Alligator mississippiensis: one gene and its partner. The protein of the gene in region 2 interacts with the protein of the main gene of each other region in a pairwise test. Links are inferred from orthologs where the notes say so. Each region holds a gene or a part of one and is shown on either strand. Other genes may lie near its edges.

Evidence for each region. The genes of interacting proteins can lie anywhere in the genome.
Region 1: the proteins of ABTB1 (region 2) and EEF1A2 interact in binary tests that used the Homo sapiens proteins (3 or more experiments, as listed by UniProt). The two-hybrid records come from large-scale screens. The link is inferred for Alligator mississippiensis from reciprocal best matches to the Homo sapiens genes ABTB1 and EEF1A2.

What each region holds. Positions count from the first base shown.
Region 1 is NC_081832.1:3,719,974-3,723,716, forward strand, and holds the start of EEF1A2 (elongation factor 1-alpha 2), read left to right. Parts: upstream 1-1,049; 5' UTR 1,050-1,176; intron 1,177-3,150; 5' UTR 3,151-3,219; coding exon 3,220-3,363; intron 3,364-3,743. UniProt on the Homo sapiens protein: Translation elongation factor that catalyzes the GTP-dependent binding of aminoacyl-tRNA (aa-tRNA) to the A-site of ribosomes during the elongation phase of protein synthesis.
Region 2 is NC_081835.1:18,874,421-18,878,163, forward strand, and holds the start of ABTB1 (ankyrin repeat and BTB/POZ domain-containing protein 1), read left to right. Parts: upstream 1-1,030; 5' UTR 1,031-1,210; coding exon 1,211-1,266; intron 1,267-3,743. UniProt on the Homo sapiens protein: May act as a mediator of the PTEN growth-suppressive signaling pathway. May play a role in developmental processes.

The DNA of each region.
Region 1 (3,743 bases), on a different chromosome or scaffold from region 2:
TTGTTGCATGATGACCCTGCTCCTTGCTGTAAGCAAATGTGATGCTTGCAGAGGATGCAACATTCAGGAGCCTGTGGACCAGTCCCCTCAGCCAGGCCCAGCACCGGTGCAAGGAACAGAGGTGCATCCATGTGCCTTGTTACCCCTCCGGGGTAACGAGCCAGGAGTTGTCCTGCCAAGACCCATCCACCCAGCCCCGGGGCTTTCGGGTACCAGTGAGGGCCACCTTGGCTGGTCCCTGCTTGCCCCTAGATAGGTCCCGAGGCTGCCAGCTAGGACAGCGCCGAGTCCCCGGCTGCCGTTACTTATTTATTTATTTAAGTGCATTTCCAGGGCCAAATCCGTTCTGAACTGAGTTCCAAATTTCAACTGAGCACAGCTCGCTCATTGAAGTCTGCGTGGCGCTACCATCGGCAAGCGTCCTCCCTTCCCAGACTCATCCATCTGTCTGGGGCTTTGGATCCTCCCACATCCCTGGCAGGCATCCTACGTGCCAGCCCCCAGCCCGGAGGGCTTGTAGTTAGCAGGCGAAGGCCTGTCGCAGGCAGGCTGACCCCTGCGAGAGTCTGCAAATGCCTCCAAATGCAAGGAGCTCTGCTATAGAGATTATAGCGGTGGGGATTGCTTTTGGGTTTTCCCCCAAGTTTGTGCCTTTTGGCTAGGGGCAGGTGAGACTAGGGGGTATCTGAACTCCAACTCTCGGCTGCCTTCAGACGGATGTGGTGCTTTCACCCTTTTGCCGTGTGCTGGATACCCCCGTACGTCCCTCCCAGCCTCTCCATGTGCTCATCAGTTGGCTAGGGGATGGGGTACCGATGCCCAGCCCAGCCTGGGTGAGCAACCCCTGCCCATCCCCTGGACCCCCATGCCACAGCAGCTCCCCTCCTTCCCTCTCCGTGTCTCCTGCCCAGCTCCTCCCTGCGCCCAGCTCTGTGTGTCTCTGCCTCTCCATCTCCCTCTCTCTCCCCATCCATCTCCTCCTTGCCTGAGCTCCCTCCTCCTGTCTCCTCCCCTCCCTGCTCTCTCTACTCCCTCCCTCCGCCCGGTACCGCATTGCTGTAGTGCAGGGGGTCACTGCATTGCGCTGGCACCGTCAATAGGTGGACCCCCTCCCAGGGAAATAAAACAGCCGGAGCCTAAGCTGGCAGCCTCTGCTGTCTGAGACCACAGCTACCGGTAAGAGCTCCCAACCCAGCCGCAGCTAGCCGGGGAGGGTGGTGGGCAAGGGGGTTGCACCCACCCAGGCGGCCTGGAGAGGGGAGCAAGGGGTGCAGCTGGGTTGTGTGTTTGCAAGCGCCTGGTGCATCCAAGCCTGCAGCCACTGACCTGCTTTGCTGGGGGGTGGGGGGGGGGGGTGCAGCCATTAATAGCCACAGTCTTAACAGAATATGATTTAAGAAGTCCCAGGTGGGGAGGAGAGCAGAGTTAGGTGCCTTGTCCTCTGGAGGCAGAGCTCCGGCTTCCCCTTCCAGCCAGCCCAGATGAGCTGGGCAGGTGTGGGTGGGGTGGGGGGTGCTGCTACCTTTGCTCGGTGGTAATAGCAAGGCTTTGACCTTGATCCCCAGGAAACCGCAGGAGCCGTGATGCTGTGGATAGGGCTGCATATGCCCCTGGATCATGGTGTTTGCATAGGAGACAGCACCCCAAGGCTAGGAAGGGCATAAGAGCCCTTAGCTGAGCTGAAGTCACCAGGGCTAGGTGAAGCTGGGTTTAAACCTAACCCCAAAGAGAGGAGTTAGGGATGGGGGGGGTGCTGTGTTCCCCAACCCCATCGGGGGCACCCTCAACTCTTCCTTCAGCTTGTAAAAAGGGAGATTTTCGTACCCAAGATGTCGGACCCTCCCACCCCCTTGCAAATAGAAGCAGCTGGCATCAGGAGCCCTGGGAGAAAGAAAGAGGCTGCCTAGAGGTTTCTGAAACCCTGGCAGCCGGCATGGCAGCTGGAGGATGTGAGACGCCTGCCTTTGAAAGAGCTGCCTTTGCTGTTGTTCGGTGCTAGCACGGATTAGCCCCCACCCCCGGTTTCATTTCCACAAGGCTCCCCCCAAGGTCTAATGGGGGGTGGGAGGACTCCCTGCTCTCCTGGAAGGCTGCTCTCCGAGGACGTTACTGCCTGCGTGGCTGAGTCTGTATGACGGGGGCAAACTTTCCCTGACCTCTTTTACCTTTATGGGCAGCTTCATGATGACATTGGATTTTATTAGATGTCCAAGCAGGCTCCTGCTCTGGCTGGTTCGTGGTGCAGCTGCAGAGCGTGGAGATGCCGGGGCAGACAAACGGATGGATTGCTTTTCCTTTCCTCTCTACATTTTATCTTGATCCTTGGAGGAAAAAAAAACCCATTGCCAGCTCAGGCACCAGCACCCTGCTTTCTGCAGGCTGCCTGACTGCTTCCAATTCAGCCGCAGGCTATTTTTGTCCATTCCCTTTTGTGGGCACCATATTGTCATCCCAACCACGAGCTCCGTGGGGGAGAGCTCGATGCAGAGAGGCGGAGAGGGAGAGGAATCTGATATCGTGCTGAGTCCCTCTCGCGATATGCCTAAGCCAGCATGGATGCCCGGCAGCTTCCCGAGAGGAAGGCAGCATGTGAAATGGAGGCAGCATTTAGTTATTTCAAATGCAGAAGCTCTGGGAACGAAGCAGTCTTTCCATAAGGGGGTGCATTTGGGTGCAGTGAGGGGGCGAGCTTTCTATCTAGAAGGGCTTTAAGGGGGTACTAAGGATTAGGGCCCCCCTCTGACACCTGCCTTTCAATATGCATTCCCCAGGGGCATGGGCACACCTTGTTTGCAAAGGCTGCAAACATGGTGACTCACGTTGGAAAGGCTTTACGCAGCACACAGAAATAGGGCAGTGAGCCCCCATCATCCCAGAGACAGGCGGGTCCTTCCACCGCTGCCCCAAAGAGGATAGCAAACAGGCAAGCCTAAGCCCATCGGGCCAAGAGTTGGGTTGCTGGTGCCGGTAGAAGGTGGGCTTTAATTCACAAAGAGGACAGAAAAATAGTAATATCTTTCTCTGTATAGAAACCTTGTCATTCAGAGCCTATGCCTTGCTGAGGGCAGTGGGAAGATGGGGTGGCCCTGGGGTTTTGCTGCTTTTTGGGGTGTCAGGACTCATGCAACATCCGTGCTTTTTCCTCCCCAGCCTCCACAGGAACGCAGCGCCGTGTCCACCGCTTCGCTAGCGCCAGCCCTTCACACCTAGCCCGCGAGGATGGGGAAGGAGAAGACACATATCAACATCGTCGTCATTGGACATGTGGACTCTGGGAAATCCACTACCACCGGACATCTCATCTACAAATGCGGGGGCATTGACAAAAGGACCATTGAGAAATTTGAGAAGGAGGCTGCTGAGGTGAGCTGTCCCGCCCTTACCGTGCCTTCCCCTTTGTCTCCTCCAGAGCAACCGGGCGATGGAAAAGACCCCTAGATCATATGGTGCCTGCCTTGAGCAAGGGGCAGGCCTAGATGACCTCCCAAGGTCCCTTCCAGCCCTCCTTTTCTAGGATTCGATCTCCTTTCATTGGATTGTTCCCTATGGTCTATTTGCTCCCTTCGCCCCTTGTTAGTCCCATTTCCTCTCTTTTTTCCCCATTCTTCCTCTTACCTCTGGGCCTTTCCAACACCTCTGGCCTTGGAAAAGTAGGACCTTTTGGCCTAGTCATCCTGTTGCCTGTGTTTTCCTATCCACCTATGGAAGTCATGGCCACAGGATAGCCATGAGGGTGCAAGAGC
Region 2 (3,743 bases):
CCAGGAGCAGATGGAAGGTGGGGGTGCACTTTAACCCCCTCTTTGAATCCTGATACACCCAAAGTTTTAATCAACTGCTTGGGAGAGAGAGCAGCATTTTTGGCAGTGCTGAGGGAGTCCATTGACTTCACAGCCCGTTGTCATCTACTCCATCCCTTTGAAATTCTTCCACTGGTGTTAAGGACCCTCTTCTTTTTAATTGTCTTGCCTTCGTTCTGCAGTTCTGCGGTGTGTGACCTGCTCCTGGTAAGACAGCTCTTGTTTCCGGGCTTCGCAGGTTAGTCGTCACGCCGTTCAGTGAAGTTTGATTTGTTTTTGCTGCAATCTTGAACTGAACAAGGCAGCCCCAGGCCCCTCGCGCATTAGCAAAACACCTAGTTTCTTTTTAACTGGAGAAAAATATGTGTTTTTTTACCTGGGGTGATGCACCTCACCGTCGGCACCCCTCCACCTATGCATGCCCCTTTGCAGTCTAGAACAAGCAAGCCCCCCCTCCCAGATCAGACCACTCTAGAACCCACCATCCCATTCTGGAGCAACTGTGAGCACCACCCCCACCACCTGCCCTAGGCAACCTGAAGCAGTGCCACGCCCAGTCTAGAACCCCCCCCCCCATGCACCATCTGACTCCAGTGTGCTAAAGTCCTGCCCAGACACGTTCTAGAGTAAGGTCATAACCTCCCTGGTCTAGAACCTGCCACCAATGTTCTTTCAAGTCACCCTAAATGTTCTAGTGCAGGGCCACACCCACAGCCTAGAACCCCACTTCAATGTCCTATCCCAGCACCCCAGCAGCCATGCCCCTGGCTGTTCTAGAGCAAGGCCACGCCCCTGGTCGAAAACCCCACCGCAACGGCCTCTCGCAGCGCCCCGGCAGCCCCGGCCCTGGGTATTCTCGAGCAAGGCCACGCCCCCGGTGTAGAACCCCGCCCCCCGCAACGTTCCGCCCGCCCTCGGCGCTCTAGAACCCGGCCTAGAACCCGGCTCGTCCGCAGCGTTCTAGAGGGCGGGGCGTGGCGGGGCGGGGCTCCGCAGTGCCGGCCTCCTGCGCCCGCCAGCCCGCCCGCTGCAGTGTTTACATCCGCGCCCTCCAGCTCGGCCCTGCTCGGCTCAGCCCGGCCCGGCCCGGCCCCGATCCCGCGCCCGGTCCCCGCCCGCGCCCCCCGGCAGTGTCAATGCGGCGCCGCCGCGCAGCGCCCTCGCCCCGGCCATGGACACGAGCGACTTGTTCACGAGCTGCAAGAAGGGGGACGTGAGCCGCGTGCGGTGAGGCTGGCCGGGGCCGGGGCCGGGGCCGGGTTGGGGGTGACTCTCCCGGGCCAGCCCCCCGTGCTCCACCCCTGCCAGGGGCCCCGATCCCTGCCCTCTCCCCTCCAGCTCCTGCCGGGGGCTCGCTGGGGCACTCCTGCGCCTGCAGAGGCCCAGCTCGGCTGCGGGTCACCCCTGGCCCAGGACAGCGGGGTTGCGCCAGCGCCCCGTGCAGGGGGCCACGGGCTGCTCGGAGGAGGGGTCTGTGAACGTCTCTCCCCACAACTGGTTTTGATTTGGTTTGAAATAGCTTTAACAACCGGACTGTGTCAGCACTGCACGTCTGGAGTGACACCGCGGGCTGCAGTCCTCCTTCCCTTGTCCCACTCGCTCCGAGTGAGAGGGATTTGCCTTGGTGCTGGCAGCGTCTGTCAGCCCCGGGAGGCTCGGGTGCTGTTTGCAGGCAGCCCTAGCTGGGGGGGTTCAACTTGTGGCAACACTTCCTAGAAGCAGGCGCTGGCTGCCCCCGTGCCCCTGCTGCCCCCACGGCTGGTGAGGGTGTCAGGTCTGTGTTGTGTGGGGTTGATGAAAGCCTTGGGGAGAGTTTAGACCAGTGCTTCTCAACCTTTTTTTGTACTAGGACCCACTTGTAAACATCGATGGCCAGTCCCGACCCAGCGCCCCTCACTCCCAACCCACCGCCCCCGGTGTGTGGGATAGGGAGGGGTGCGGTATGGAGAGCCCCAAGCAACCCTTTGCAGCCTGGCACTCTGACAGCCTGCAAGTGAACAGCCACTTTTCCACATTTCTCTCCATTTTTAAAGTTTGTTCACACCCCTTTCATATATTCTTGTGGCCCACAGGTTGAGAAACGAGGGTTTCGATCGTGGTTTGTACGGGATGGTTTGGAGAGGGATGATCCTGCCTCCATGCGGGTCCCTGCCAGCCCCGCTTCTCTGTGATTCCGTGAACTCGGCGGGGGAGGCTGTGTGAATGCCTCTCCCCATGGTTCACCAGGCAGGTTTTGTTTGGCTGAAATTGCTTTAAAAATGGGGCGAGAAGCCTGCATAAAAGGTGCCCCGTCTGGACTGACACCACGGGGCTGTGGTCGTCTTTTCCTTTGCTGCCCTATATTCCTCGCCTTGCCCTGCCTAGAGATCTGCCCTGCTCTAGTCGGAGGGATTTGCAGGTGACTGCTGCCGTGGCTCTGGCTGGGCCTGAGATCAGCACCGGGGGCTGTGAGGTGATACATGCAAGCAATCCTAGCTGGCCTAGGCTTGGCTGTCAGCCAGACCCCGTGACCTGGAACAGCTGATGATACTAGATAGCTCAGACCAGTGAGAGGTGTTTTTTTTTTCTTTCTTCTTTTTTTTTTTAAATTAATAAACATGTTTTCCCAAGGAGCCAAGTGCCCAGTGCCTCTGCTTGAATGCGACTGGTTCTGCTTTAATCCTGCCCGTTTCCCCTTGGATCAAACGCCTGACGATACCCAGTCAAACCCTGCCACCATTCCTAGCGGTTCTGCGCAGGTTTCTACTCCTCCCCTTTGCCCCCCCTAGCTATCGCCTCTCCAGCGTTGGTAAATAGCGCTACAGATATAAATCACTGGAAGTTTGGGAAATACTGGGGCGCTTTGGGACTGAGCGTTAAGGGTATCTCTGTGATGGTCGACAGCATCTAAACATAAAAGGAAAAATATCTGTCGACTGATGTTGCTGGTGGCTCTGTGAGCTGGTGCGGGGGTAAATGCAGATTTCAGGAGTCTGCTCTCCAGGAATGAGGCAGCAGAGGCCAGTGGGGCTTGTCCGGGAGACCAAACTTCTGTCCCTCATCCTGACACTGACCTATTGGGTGACCTTGGACCAGTCACTTCATCTCTTTGGGCTTCGATTTCCCCTTCCACCCTTTGTCTTTTGTTTGGACTGTAAGGTCTCCAGGGCATGAACTCTTTCTGCTAGATCTGTACAGTGCCTAGCACAAAGGAGCCTTGGCCTCTGTCATGGCTTCCAGGTGTTACCATAATATATGTAATGTGTAAGTCAATCCCATGAGCAGAACAGTGCTACAGTTCAAAAGGCCGGCTCTTTGATACACGAGCAGAACTTCCATTCTTCTCCCTTCCAGCTCTTCCTATTGAAGAGTGTTTTCTGTACCTTGTAGCATTAAAGTCAGTTACTTCCTGAAAGTGAATCCCTTTTCCTCTGTGTGAGACTCAGTTAAACCTGCAGTAATGCAAGCTCTGTATGGCACTCTGTGCTAGCAAATGTGTTGGCTCATGCTACTTTTCAGCCTGAGGCAAAACTAGGAGCAGGCACATTTGTGTCAGAGCCAGGAGCAGTTAAAGAGCAAGAAGGGTGTTCTGTTTAGAGCAGTGGTTCTCAACCTTTTTTGGACTCAACGCCTCCCTTGGAAAATGCAGGCTCTTAGTTTCGACTGGTTTTTGACTGTGGAACTATAACAGCAGTTTTTCTACTGCAAAGAACAAAGACCAGAAC